Lytechinus pictus: one gene and its partner. The protein of the gene in region 1 purifies or fractionates together with the protein of each later gene. This does not show direct contact. Links are inferred from orthologs where the notes say so. Each region holds a gene or a part of one and is shown on either strand. Other genes may lie near its edges.

Region 1 (7,581 bases):
TCTGACTTTTTACTTTCAAGTCTTGCGCATCTTTTAAGACCAAATTTGCGATACCTGGGTGCGCAGTTTCAAAATCACGCAACATTTTGTACATGCATGTCAGACCAAAAATTGCTCAAAAACGTGATTGTGTTTTTCAACCAAAAATCATAATGTATGACTATTTTTACTTTTGTTGGTTCAAATGGATTTATTTTATGCTATGATCGCAAGAGTCCCTGACAAAGTTCATCGGCAAAAACAATAAAAAACAAAGGTTAAAAAAAACAAAGAAATACAAATTTTAAAAACAAAAAATACATAAGAAATTATATTTTTTGCGGAAAAAATATTGATACTCTCACCAAAAATTAGCATTCTACTAGCTTAATAAATAGAGTTAAAGGCAAAAACATTAAAAAAAAAATTTAGGGCAAATTTAATTTGCTTATTTGCATAATTAATTAATTAAAAAATATAAACAATTAATTGTTGTCATGTAAATTTGATGCAGAAGTACATGAAATTGCTGATAGTACACTTAATTGCATCATTTGCATGTAAAATCAAACACACACAAATAAGCGGAATTCTACTACACAGTAGGCTTGCATGAGTGGCTATGTATACTAGAAAACATAAAGTTCAACAAAGCCACTTTTAATATTTTGAACTTGAAAAAAATAACGCAAATAGGCTAAAACCATGTAATATTACATTTGTAAGTAGTTTTAGTATAATTCTTAATTGACCATGCAGTGTTCCAACTTACACCATACCATGTTCCAACTTACCCCGTATATGGGGTAAGTTGTTGTTGTTGTTGTTATCTTGGGTTTTGAGGCGCGTGTCATTCAGATATGAATATTTACGCCAAAGTTGGAACGCTTGTGATAGTCTTGTTCAAGGTGGACTTTTTCAGTAAACATAGAGTTGAACATTTTATGGCGTACATTTGAAGCCCTTAGATATATGCTTCAAGCTGATATGTTGTTTCTCAAATAAAATCTATTTGGATTTTACAGCCATTTTGTCAAAAATGTTCCAACTAACAGCCATTTTGTCAAAAGTGTGGGACAACTAACCCCGATCTCCCCTACCAAGTGTGATATTTTATGCGAAAATTTCACTTTTTATTCAAAATTTTGTCCATGTCGCCGGATGATTTTGTAGTGTGGGAGTGAGTGAGTAAATGTGTGGTGTACATGTCTAGAGTGAGTTGGTGATTTCAGTGGTGTATTGCTGAACAGCCACACACCGACTCTTGGCCGAGTACCAACCCAGTTTTACTCTACTTGTAAAATTGAAAACAGAGGTATTCTTATTTTGTGTAGGCCTCTAGATCTACATGTCTCTTTAAGTGTATGATGGTGGGCCCCAAGTCTGCGCACCTAACAATTTGAGTTAAGATTTAACATGAATTTCTTCTTATTTCACAAAATTTTTCAGTTAATAATGTTCCTTATATTATTAAGAGTAAGTGTACAAAATTTCTCATTAAAAAATGAAAGAAAATATAGGATTTTCTTGGAAAAACCTCGGGCAGTCATTTTCAGATTGAAAAAACAAATGGTACCCCATGTCTGCACACTCATTCACTTTGCACACGATTCGGGGATTTTGATGAGAAAGGCTGCATTTTGAGGCCGTCACATGAAATGCCCTAAATTTATTATTTTTCCACCATTTTGAGTCGGATTTTTTTACAAATACCTGTCTATGTATTGCATGTGTAAGTTCGTGCTCATTGCGTATCTTCTTTTACTAGAATCGCGCAGATACGCGTGTGCGCAGACAAGGGGGACTGCGCAGACTTGGGGGAACTTGCCATACATACGGCTGAATTTACTTTAAAAAATTGATGATCTTTTACATGTGTAGCCCTGGCAGCCGCTTCCAGTGCACAGTATACCCAGTTGTTGTGTGTCCGGACGATCAATTTTAGAAAGTCATTTGGAAAAATTTACAAGGGAAGTTTTATCAATTTTTAGTACAAAATGTCAGGAAATATTATAGAGAACAAAATAGAAGATGATTTGTACAACTATTGATTTCGTATTTTTAGTGTAATCCAAAGACAAAAAAGGCTTCAAAAATATATTATAAAGTGTCCGGACACCCGACCCCCCATCCTACTTTCTGGGAAATTAATCCTGATAAGGGTGTGTTTAATGTCGATTTTCAAATTTAAACAGCAACATGATTTATGTCTGAAAACTTGATTACCGAACACACACGATCAGCGGTGCACTGTTAAGTGTCGAAAATATATGTTGATCGTAGTTAAATTTCCCGCTTTCGTTAGCGCAGCTTTAGTGCGCATTTTGACCCATCACAAGAAAGAGAGCTTTCTAAACTTTGTTGTCCTGCCTACTCGCAGACGCAGTCACACACTTTTTCTACACTCGGAATGTGCGTCATGCAGCCTATTAACAGTAACAGTAACAACTAAGCAAATCAAAGCAACACTTTAACAGCAAAGATTACATACTGGCATACCCCTGGCTTCCAGATAAATCCTTAATAATCGAAGACCATGTCAATTTGACAAAAAACAAGTTAACTCTAGGCCTACTGTAAATAGCTAAGCCTGAGGACTGACACAATTTTGATAGTGTGGGACTACACACAAGATTTGCTATTTTGGGTGTGAGCGAATTTCCTGCTCAACACTACTCAAACGAGTCATCTTTCCGATAAACGAAATGCTCTTATGACTTTAATGACATGACAGATCAAATAATCAAATTCGATTGTGTCATCGCATACAAACGATTTTCACTCGTATCATCAAATTATCAACTTACAAATGTTTATTGTTATCATCATACGGGGTTTTGAGATCGTCTTGGGACGCCATAATTGACGAACCCTCTTCACTTATCGTCCGATTGAGATGGTTTCCTGAAAAGTTCGACCAAAATACACCTCCAAAGAATCAAATTATCCCGTTGATCAATAAAACCCCTTCCTGTCAAATTCGAGAAGAGTCTTCATCGATGCCGAAATCGTGATGAAAAACCGACGATGAAAATCTTGACTCGCAGAAGTCCCTGACAGTCCATTCACACACACGTACATGTACACAAACGCTATTTAGCCATTAGTTCCAGGAAGTTCGAGAAGTCCAATAGAAACTGTGTGTGTTATTTCTGTCAAACTTCAATACAGGCCACTTAGCCAAAATAGCACGGCCGTCTATGACGTGACGGGTTTCATGGGTAAAATAGAGGGCGTTATACACATCACTTCGTGGGATATGTTTTTGGGAAAAACCTAAAAATATAACCAAGGACCGATTGTAAAAAAAAATAATAATAATAAATACGACCTTCCTGATCTTCACAGCAATATCTCGAAACCACTTCCTTACTCCACCTTTAAGAAACTGGTTAAACAAGATCTACATTGCCGTCAATGATCTCGTTGCACAGGGCATCCGTGCGAAGTCAACTCTCAAGTTCTGGATTGATCACATCCCATCCTCCAACAATCTCCTTTATCCGAAGACCACACATTCCCCTGTCATCCGTTATGCACTCATTGTCAGAGCCCAATTACTTTCTTCCACGTATCTTACTCAGTATCGCCTCCACACATTAGGAAAGTCCTCCACCCGTACTTGCCCCCTTTGTGCCTCATATGATGAGACAGTAGAACACTTTGTCGGATCGTGCTCCTCTCTTGATCACCTACGCCAAGACTTCATACACAGAGTCGAGGAGTGTCTCACTGCACCATCCACATTACCTAGACTTGTATACTGCTGAGGATCCACACCAATTTTCCTGTGCTACCCTATTAACCCATCAACCTGGTCTCCCTTCAGAAGTTAATTATAGTCTGCTCCTTAAATCCCTCTTTTTTTCTACATAAAATTCATGACTACCGCTCCAACTTGATGCTGAATCTGTAATTTACCGGACTGGGATTTGTTCTATTCGTATCTTAGAATCTCCAAAACAGTGGAGGGATCACCTAAGAGAGAGAGAAGGGGGAAGAGACTAAAGATACTGGTGCAGAGAAAATTGGAAAGCTATAAAACACTTATGTTATATTGGATGGCTCCGAAAGAGTATATTCCAAGAGTTTCGGCAAATATTCCACGAATCGCAGAATATTTCTGGTATTCCAAGTACTAAAGCCATCCAATATGATTATTATCATCTATCCAAGCATCTGCACTCTAACAGCAAATCTTGATATGTTATTTTACGAAGCTCTAAGCTGTAAATAGTATATGGACCAATTTTTTTAAACGCCTCTAGTCTTCAGAAGACTTTCCTCTGCAGTGCTGCAAAGTATGACGAATATTACCTCGAGTTTCATCAAATGGAATAGTGGTGTAGAATTTTCCCTTATGAAGATACAAGCCTTTTGGCGCGTGTGTTTTTAAACTCACGTTATTTTGCGAAACAAAAGTGTTGATACATGTATTTTGAAAACAGGCACATGAACCCCAAATTTTTAATGTTCCGGCACCTCTTTTGTATACCTTTGCCAAAAAACCATGCAAAATTTTGTAAAAAGGACATGGGTTTTAAATAAAATGCAGCATTTATTGTATACTCTGTAAATTTGTTATATAAATTTCTAATTTGTATGTATGTTTCTTTTTTTCAATTAAAGGTGTTACTTCTCTTTAAAGAGCAACCATGAATAGCAATATGAGTGGATTTTTCATCTTAAGTAAATAATTCTGAACTATAATGTAAAATTTGGTGACATTTAGATAGATTTTGACTGATTAATAGAGGTTTACACTCAACGTTGTGATGTCATGGGGTTTAGAAACCCAAATTATTATTATTGTGTATTTCTCGAGACCTTACAAATGCTTGGGTGAAGTTCAAAGCTCGATAGCAAAAAAAAACAAGTACATGAACTCATGTTATTTTTTGCATTTTTTGAATATTTAGGTGCTAAAATAACTCAAGTGTGCAAAATTTCATGAAAATGACATGGGTTTCATTTTCAACTGTGGAACGTCCTTAATGTATCGCTAAAACACTCTATATAGATGATAATTGCGTAGATTTGTCTGTGTATATACACAAACAAAAAAGTAAGTCCCCTAAATAAAATTGCTGTAACGTTTGAAATAATTTTGAGATAAAATATTTCGTAGGTAATATTATCACCATCATTCAGAAATTCCTGTGGGAAAATGAGATAGATAGATATAGATAGATAGATAATTGGTTTTATTAATAAAATCAGATTGATCGGTTGAGTCATGCATGAGTAATCAAAGATTGAACTAAAAATGACAATTTTCGAAAGTTACAAGAATCCTTTTTTCAGATCGTGTAAATACAAAGTTGGGCGGAATTCGTTTTTTGGTGAATTTTATGGTGCTGATGCTGTTTTACTATCCATCATAATTATAGCCAATCCACACACAATTTTGATAACGTATGTTCATGGTTGAGGGAACATCATTTTTTGTGCCGTATCATCATAGGGGTTTACGGTAGTATCCTCTATATAACTTTCAAATTAAAATTGTAAAATGTTAGTGCCCCCCCCCCCCTATTTCTCGGTCCCCTCCCCATTTAAGAAATCTGGATCCACCATTAGTCCATAAATTCAACTGATCCTGAGAAATTGTTAGGAAAAGCATGCATTTATGCATTATAAAGAGCATTCATTCCCAAGTTTTCAAGTGTGCTCACTCAACCATGCCTGTAAAAAGTTCGGGAAGTGTGTGGTGATAAAAATGATGGATGATAAAAACAACAGTGATTAAGTCACATTTGAAACAGAATTTGCCCCCATTATTCACTTAATAACCCATCAAAAGAGTCTGTGTCATTGAAAATGCCATTCCCCCTCGATGCGTGCTCACTCTTCCATAAATATACAAATGGATTTTTGCATAGATCTTTTCTGCCCATAGGTATTGCCAAATTACATTGCTTAAGACAGTTTTGAAAAAAGTTCCATTTTCAATAAGGGGTTACTTATTCTTAAAGGACAAGTCCACCCCAACAAAAAAGTTGATTTAAATAAAAAGAGAAAAATCCAACAAACATAACACTGAAAGTTTCATCAAAATCGGTTGTAAAATAAGGAAATTATGACATTTTAAAGTTTCGCTTAATTTCGCGAAACAGTGTTATATTCACATCTTGTCGATATGCAAATGAGGGGACTGATGACATCACTTACTCACGAATTCTTTTGTATTTTATTATATGAAATGTGAAATATTCAAATTTTCTCCCTGTTGTCCTGTGAAAAGAAGATTAATTCCTCCCAGAACGTGTGGAATTAGCATTGTTTGATACTATATGGTTCAATCAAGTTGGTACTTATTGTCAAATCTGTAAAAAATGAAATATTATATAATTCAAACAATGAAAAACAAAAGAAAAAATGAGTGAGGGATATCATCGACTGTCTCATTTGCATGTCATTAAGTTGTGCATATCACTGTTTTGTGAAAAATAAACGAAGTTTTAAATGTCATAACTTTCTTATTTTATATCCGATTTTGATGAAATTTTCAGCATAATGCTTGTTTTATTTTTCTCAATTTATTAAAATCAAAGTTTTTTCTGGGATGGACCTTTAAACATAATTATGCACCCATAAACACACGAAACGCGGTATATCTATAAAAATTGCATGAGTTGAATTAGAATTGTATTTTAAAAAATCGCGAAAGTTGTATAAAAAGCTGTAGTTGCTTTATAACTTTGCGTTGAACATGTTGAATAAAAATATCGAACGATATATTGATAAAATCTAAAAGTTATTAAACATTGAATAAAACGAGTTACGTGACCGCTATTTTCGCGCCAAAGAAATCTGAAATTATTCATCATTGAATAAAAATGTTGCGCGCTGTTTCGTGCCGTGCACAAAGCTGGCTTCTGTCACGGCGTATACGTCTGTCGAAGAAAATGGCCTGCCCTTGGTCAGGGTTGGTGGAGGAACATCTCCGAATCTGCACAGCAAAAACTGTGGTGTTAACATGCAGGTGTACATAGAGGACCACATCAGTTATTTTACACCGGTGGTAAATTGACAGTGTTATAGTTTAACACACCTATAGGTGTTATACGACACCTTTGGTTGTTATATTAACACTCTATGGTGTTATGTTCAATCTATAAGGTGTCATTTTAACACCCCAGGGTGTGGTCCTCTATTAACACCAACTGGTTTTAACGCCACAGCTTTTACAGTGTGGTGTATTGATGACCTTATGGGGGCAGTTTAAAAGTGAGTAGTGTACCGTATCTTTGAGCGTACAGTGTTCACCGTATTATCAAGAACAAAATACTGTAATTTTGTTGATTTTATTTTGTAAAATTTGACGATAACATTTTTGCGTTGCCTCGTCATGGCTCAACATCGACGAGCGAGGCTTAAAGGGATGCTCCGGGCTGAAAATAGTGTGATATCAACAGATAAAGAAAAATCGGACAAACAAAGCACTAAAGATTTCATCAAAATCGGACAAGGAATAAAAAAGTTATGGCATTTTAAAGATTTGCATGATTCCGGTGAAATAGTTCGACTGAGGCATGTCTTCGTGAACTGATGATGTCATCCCCACTTGTTCTTTTGTATTTCAGTATATGAAATTAGGTT
Region 2 (7,734 bases), on another chromosome or scaffold:
AAATATATTGCACTCACAATATATAAAGAACCCACTCCTAGACGCTGGTTTTTTTTTTACAAAGAGTTGCAATTGATCAAACATTGAAACGATTCACAGACATACAGAATATAAATTATGAAGAGCTCACGTACACAGAAGTTACTCTTTTACAACGGTTGCGTCTTTGTTACATGAATTAAACTTGACAGCCAGTTAATATTTTACCAGAATAACACCAGGAAATGGTTGTATTACAATACACACCCACTTGTGTGCACTATCTATAAATTGCCATGGTATGAAGTCCATAATAATTTGTTGAATCCTTTCCAATCTTTGTAGACAATACGTGGTACCATTGCCAGACGTGGTACCACTGCCAGACGTTGTGTCATTCTTGGCTTCGCACATTCTATTGGTGCATCATACATTGTTTTTGCCAACTTCACAGGGCAACTAATGATAAGTCTGATCATCAGTGTAAACATTTATCATCATAAATGCTACCAACATATCCATATGCCATACAAAAAAGCATTAGCAATATGTTGATAATAAAATGTTTTCCCTGAAGTGCAATCTTCAAAGGAACATCAAAATGTAGAAATGAAAGATCAGGAACAGTTGACATTGTTTGTACTCATGAATCATTGTACGTTTTAAACAAGGAAGTTATAAAAAAAGAAAGGAAAATTATACAAAAGAAAGAAATTGATTTCCTTTCAAAATCTTTCACCACGCACAATTTTAAATTACATAACTTCTCATTTCCTTTGTCCTGTTATTTAGCCAACCTAGATTTAATTTGAATAAAGAAATCTTGTACAATAATGTAACTGCATTCCTCTTCAAAATAATTTCTTCATAACTGATATAATCTCTCCCATAATCTTTCCAATAAGGATTCCAATGCAAAAATAGCAACATGCACAAAATAAAAGGGTTATATGAACAAAACACAACACTGCATCATGTAAAGTTCTCTGGAATAGCAAGTGAAAAATGAAACTTTATCAATTCATTTTCATTCTCCAGGAATTATTCACTTTCAAAACTTTCAAAACTTACAAAAAATAATAGTTAGTGTGTAGATCTATGCCTCCAAATATCACATCACTTTCAGCTCCTAACTGTCCATAAAAGCAAGCAAGTGCAATGTCCTCAGAAACTAGCTCAGCCTCTCAACATAGTTGATACGTCCCTTTAATCCTGACAGGCATCTCATACACAAACTCTCTCCTGCTCACTTCCACAAACTTCACCAATAGGCTTCTGTTACAACGTCCCATCAACCCTCGCGCTGCAGCAGTGACACTGACGGTGCTTTGGACTAGGCTGCCCCAAAGAGTGGTACCCTATGAATGGTATGCCGTTCAAAAACAGATCGTGATTCAGCAAGCGATCAGGACCAAAGCCCTCTGTGGCTGTACGTCACAAGTAAACCTCACCTACATGGGTCAACCTTGTTTGATTAATCATAAATGTAAACAGGCGACAACAGGAGCCCAATCACACTCCCCTGCACTGATTAAAAATAGTGTCAAGTAGAATAATATATATATATACCATAGGTTCAGACCATACTACAGTGTAGTTTTATGAATTGTGTGATGAATCAGAGATATCATAACTGTAAACAAACTTGTGCTATGATCCACTGCAGTGCAATGCAAACGCATGAAGGTGTGGGCTGTAGGGCTAGACGAAACACTCACCTACAGTACTTCAAATTCATATTCAATTCTCTGTAACCATACAAGTTGTGCTGTGAAAAGAGCCTAAACTATTTATCTGTTTGAAAGATAAGTTTGGGAAACATGTTCCTGTACAAAGACCAATGCAGGTTTAAAACCTAGGCCTATATTGTATTTATGTACGAGGCTTCCACGAGAAGCGAATGTGATGCAATAATGCAACAAATAGGTGCAATGCAATGTCACATCATCTGTATAAAGAATGCTTACATATCCCCTGAATTAAAATAAAAATTGTTTATCCTGTAACGAAATTTTCTCCTATTGCTCTGCAATTAAAGTACGATTAAAATGATCATACCTGTATTCCTGTATAGCAAACTTCCCTTTCTGTTTGATAAAACAAACACAGTGTAGCCTATTTCAGTTGAACGCTGTTGATCATACTAATTCCAACTTGTCCTCCCAAAAGTATCATATTGATAATTAATCACTATTTTGTTGCCATATATCAAGTCACTACACTGTAATAATGCTGAAGAAAAGTGTCCGGGATGCAGAATGGTCCAAGTGAAAATGCACTTCAGTGACTTCACAATAATATCATGAACAGATTCATTGCAGAACTATAAACGATCGACAGGAAATGACTGGAAGTCTGTGTGATTGAACTAAAATCTGTCACATGCCCACCCACCCAAAGCAAATTCACTGTCTGTGAAAAAGTTCAATAGCACAACTAGCCCACACAATGGTGCATTTCTATATTACCTATTTCGTCACAATACATGTACACAAAGGCCCTGAATATTGTATTTAGGTTTCGCACTTGACTGAAGTACAGAAAGTATTCAAAAAGATATTTTTATTCATTTCTATGTTATCTCGCATAACTGGTTCAGGGTAATTTGTCCAAATTAAGTAGGCCATTGCAATGCAGCCGAAACAGTTAAGTAGGCCATGTAACAAAACTCTAAGTATTGACTATTTTTTAATTTAGAATATTGGTACATGTTTTTTATACATCTTTCTCTCGGAGTGGTTTAGAAATACTGAAAAAAATGAATTGATAGGTAGTCCCGGAAACAATTTATTCAAAGAACCTGTATGAGTGAATTAGCAGTCATCACTATAATTGCAATTCCAGATTAATGGATCAAGATGACAATAGATGCTTGTTCCCTCGACTGACATGTACAAAATGATTATTAAAATTTGAGATAAAGTCTATACTTATCAATGTATTATAAACTAGATGTGTATTAACTTGAAAAGATTCAATCTAACTGGTATACCTTTTTAATACCTTTATCACCTTTTGCTGTTAACTCTGCAATATTCAAGTTCCAAAGAAAGTTCGCTTCAAATACCACAAAATTACATCCTGTGATTTCAAGCACATTAGTGAATAAAGACCTCTGACTTCTTGAATGAAGAAATGCCAGCAAATGATTCCCTCGTTAATACACCTGCCAAATCACCAAGAACAGTCTATCCAGAGGTATACCCCACATAGCTATAAATGTAAAATTCCTCTCCCACTTATAGATCAGGGAGGCTAACAGCCACAGACAAGAGACTTATGACTGTTTCCTGAGACGTCAAAGAAATGCCGAGCGGTGAGAGAGCTGTCTGTCGTGTGTCTGCAAGGAGAGGAGGAATCGACGTAGCTTCCGCGGTCGGCCGTTGCTGAACCAGCCTCAAATCAATGCAATTACGAGAGATTAGTTAGAGTCTGAGTGTGTGGGGTATTCCCTTGGTGATTGTGAACTGGTTCTGAAATAGAGCTGGGAGGAGGATCTAATGATGAATGCCAAGAATTAAACTGGAAATTAAGGGGTTGATCAAGCGGTTATGTGAACTTCTAATTTAAGACACTTAGAACTTTGTCAAATTGATACTGCTTTCAAGATTTCACATGCCACAAAAGGCCACTTGATTAACCCCACTCTCTCATCCCAACCCATTTCTCTTTGCAGTTTTGTAATCATAACACCTCTTTTGTGTCAATGCTGCACATTTAAAATAAGAAAGATAATGAACACATATATACTGCTTGCACTAGAAACAAGTAATAGTTTTTTTTTTTTTTTTTTTATAGTAGTGGCAAAAATATTGTAGCAATAGTGATACCAGTAGTAACCAGAGGTGTGAGTGGTCACAAATAAAAAGATCTGAAAAAAGCTGAAACTTGTAGAAAGTCTGAAATAGAAAGAGCTCCCATACTATTTGTACAGAGGAAAGCCAAAAATAAGCTGAAAATCAAAACGAAAAAAAATCTGAAATCAGATAAAAATCTGAACTCTCAAACCCCTGGTATTAACAATCGCAATCAGTATTAAGAAGTAGAAAGTAGTAAATAGTAGTAGTAAAAGTAGTAATCAGTAAGTATTAACTAGAAACTATAACATAGTAAGTAGGCCTGCTAGTAAGGAGTAAAAAAGGATACAGTAATAGGAAGCAGTAGTAAGAAGTATGTACTAAGTAAAGTACTAGGAGCAGCACTTGGTTTTGTTTTGTTTTTCGCAACGTAATTGTACTTGACTAATTACATGTATGCTCATAATAATAATGAAAATCAATGTTAATCATTTCAACAAGATATGCAATCACTGAATAAATGAAGTATCTTTCACACAGGTCTTTCTCTTTTTTATTATCACACAAGTATGAAGTTCATTTTTTTCATCATTGTGACTTATCACACGTTTCATCGCAAAGTGATAACTTGGTGAATAAAGCACCAATTGTATTTTTAGAGCCTGAAATGAGTAAGAAGGAAATATGAAATTTATGACTAATTATTATTGTGTGTGTGGAACTGAAAATGGAACCGGATGATGTCAGTGGCTGGCCCATTTCTCCAAATAAAGTAATACCATTTAATATACATTATGATCCATTAAAATTCCTTTGAATGTGAATATGTAATGTTCTAGGTATCTCACTGACCATGCATAGGTTTACTCCTCAAGTTAATTCCTCTGCTTTCAAGAATGAAAAAGTAAATACAGCATTTCTCCTTATCAAGAGATATCATATCATAAATATGATTCATCTCAAAAAAATGTTATATCACAGACTAAACATATTTAACATCCAATATATTTTGTGATAAGTTCATGGATATCCCATGATCATTCCTATTATTTTACATCCATAGTTCAACAGAATAGTGATATCACTGCACTTATCTATATGACTACCATAAAGTGAAACTATACGATTATGATCTTCTAAAATTCTGTTGAAAGTCACCTACAGTGTAGGCCTACATGGATCATGCACGTACATGTTTGATATTAGTAAAAATCGAAAGAAAATAAAAGGTCACATTTTTATGTTTCTCCAAATAAAGTGATATCAACATCATATATACTTCTACATAAAGAATGATATCATTCATAAAGTACATCAAACTTTGATTAATGATTATTGCAGTGATCATGAAAGGATTATCTTCCGGTGCAAAGAAACGAAACGGAAAGACAAAGTTGGCAAATTGTGGAATTAATTTTGAACAGGAAATTCATAATAATTTGTTATCTATTACTGGACAAGAATTATTTACGTTTAAAATCTGTATTAAAAATAACCTTCAGGTTGGTCATAAAATGAGATAATTATTCAGAATCAATGTCCAAATCATATCATATTTTACTATTTTCTTTTTACTCTGCATTCAAATAGATATAAAAAAGTAAAATGTAATATTCTAAAAATGTCAGACTAACATCACAGATTCAAGATTAAGTGTACAGAAACTTTTAATGAGATTCTATTTTTGATCCATCAAGATTGAAACTAAAAATGCAGTTACAAAATATGGTAATAAACACTCTGAATTTTTAAGTGGTATATAGCAAAAATTTTCTTTGTCGGCTGCCTGACAAAAATTTCAGTATTTGCATGCTATATACATGCATGTTGCTAATGAAATATTGCATGCATTGTTTCTAGTCAAAGCAGCAAGGTACATGTAGGCCCTATACCATGAGGGCCTGCGAGTTTCTGGTGGTATATATAGTATACTAAATCAGAAGACCAATTGTACATTATATACTTTATCATGTTTTTTCTCCCTTTCTTTCAGTTGTAAATTCTGCTTAAGAGTTAAGTTTGGGTAATTTGCAATCATCAACATTTTATTTTTTTTTAGTTTGGGTTTTTAATCGTTTTCTTCATATCGATAATCTAACTCTAATGAATTATAAAAGATTCTTTAAATACCACATGGACACTTAATTAAAAAATTTGAAGATAATTTGAGATCAATTAAAAGTGAAAACCACTTATTATTTTTTCTTGCTTTTAATCACCATGCCCTCTTATATGAAACATTTGCATGCACGCGATCGAAAAAATAGTAAAGAAAACAAACATTCTGTACGAAGCACCCACATAAATAGTTTCGTGGAAAGCGATAGGATATATAGCTTCATCTCAAACTTTCTTCTCTGTTTTAGGCTATACTTCCTGCTTGAGAACTTTAGCGGACGTGGAGGGTGTTCCTAGCTTCCTATCTCACTTTCCTATAGCAGCAGAAAGTCCATCTCTTACTGATTTCAATTAAACAACGTATCCTATTTAGCACTGTCGTGTGTTATTGATAGTATTCAATTGTATATTGGGTACTGGGTTCGGGTATAGCATCTGATTCAAATTATATGAAGCTTCTGTATAGGTACAATAATGTGAATACGTTGGGCTTATTCATTTTCCATTCAAATCTCACAACCAAACTCTTTGAGAATATTTGAATTGCAGACTTGAAGGTGAGGACATTAATACTGCCCTGTCTCAGTGATATTTTTATGTTTATTATAATAAAGGCCCTTTTGAACACTTATTTTACAAAAAAAAAGCAGCACAAAGATTATGCCTACATCCTGAAATTTTCAGCCCATGCTATCTTTCAGTAGCTGGTTTTATACAAAAAAAAAAGAATATGAAATGCATGTTATGCTATCTTGAAGTCTTTCAATAAATATATTCATTGATGTGAAGTAAATGCAAGGAACTCAGCCCTTTGCTTGATAACCCTAACCCTATTTCAAGTCAAGGTACAGGATATCCCAGCAAAAACGCAACTTGAATATTTGTGTTTGTAGCAACATCACCTTAAACAATGGCTACGTGATGATAGGATATTTTTTATAGTGGAAATCATATTCATTTTAATAGCACTACCCACTGTAGTATCAGCTGTTGTTGACATTTGCTGCTATTCATCACTCTTTGATGTGGCCAAGTTCAACACACTTTTAATCATGGAGATAGAAGTTTTCCCTCCATGATATAATGCATTGGCCACAAATACCATGGAACAAATTGAAAACTCTCCAGGCTCCTCCTGCATAATGATCCAGTCTGACCAGTCACACCAATGCCATTGACACCAATCCAACTGATGGAATGTCATTGGTAATAATGTAACAGCCTTGGTTGGCCTGGGGTCGGTTCCACCAGTGTGACTGAAGCACCTATGTGCAATCAATCTGATAGTACACCATAACATGCAAGCACAAGCTCCATTTATTGAAACATGTCCAAAGTGGTCTTAAGTTTTATTCTACCAGGACCCTGAATGGAACTGTGTACTTGACCTTCTTAAAATGACGGCAAGTTAGAACGTGAGGTTGCTTGGGCGCCCTAAAAACTTGGGTCAAATGTTGCCATCCGGTGCAATTGCCCACCACCACTTTCTAAAATAGAATTCAATTAAAAAACGTTGGGATATCTATCCTTCACTACATGATACAGAGGCGGCAGAACGTCAGGCTCATACAATGAAAGTGGAGGGGCACCTATTGTTTGGCAGGCAACAGGTGCCCCTCCACTTTCTTTAACCGAGCCTGATGTTCCGCCGCCTCTGACATGATAACTTCTTCTGGACTATTACATCAACTTTGACTAGGTATGGGTCGAGGGGAATCCCAGAAAAATGACCGGATCTCATTACAGGTACATGGCCATAATATCCATTTGTTTATCCAATGGCCTTCATGGTGATATGGATGACAGTAAATATTTCCTTGTTTTTGGATATAATCTGCAT

What was found.
Region 2: the proteins of crk-like protein (region 1) and rap guanine nucleotide exchange factor 1-like purify together in Homo sapiens (affinity purification with western blotting; 16 studies listed by BioGRID and IntAct, with this or other methods). This does not show direct contact. The link is inferred for Lytechinus pictus from reciprocal best matches to the Homo sapiens genes CRKL and RAPGEF1.

Annotation. Positions count from the first base shown.
Region 1 is NC_087250.1:23,205,143-23,212,723, forward strand, and holds the start of crk-like protein, read right to left. Parts: upstream 3,187-7,581; 5' UTR 2,840-3,186; coding exon 2,787-2,839; intron 1-2,786. UniProt on the Homo sapiens protein: May mediate the transduction of intracellular signals.
Region 2 is NC_087259.1:23,035,439-23,043,172, forward strand, and holds the start of rap guanine nucleotide exchange factor 1-like, read right to left. Parts: upstream 3,324-7,734; 5' UTR 2,992-3,323; intron 2,367-2,991; exon of another isoform or gene 2,038-2,366; intron 1,845-2,037; exon of another isoform or gene 1,051-1,844; intron 1-1,050. UniProt on the Homo sapiens protein: Guanine nucleotide-releasing protein that binds to SH3 domain of CRK and GRB2/ASH. Transduces signals from CRK to activate RAS. Involved in cell branching and adhesion mediated by BCAR1-CRK-RAPGEF1 signaling and activation of RAP1.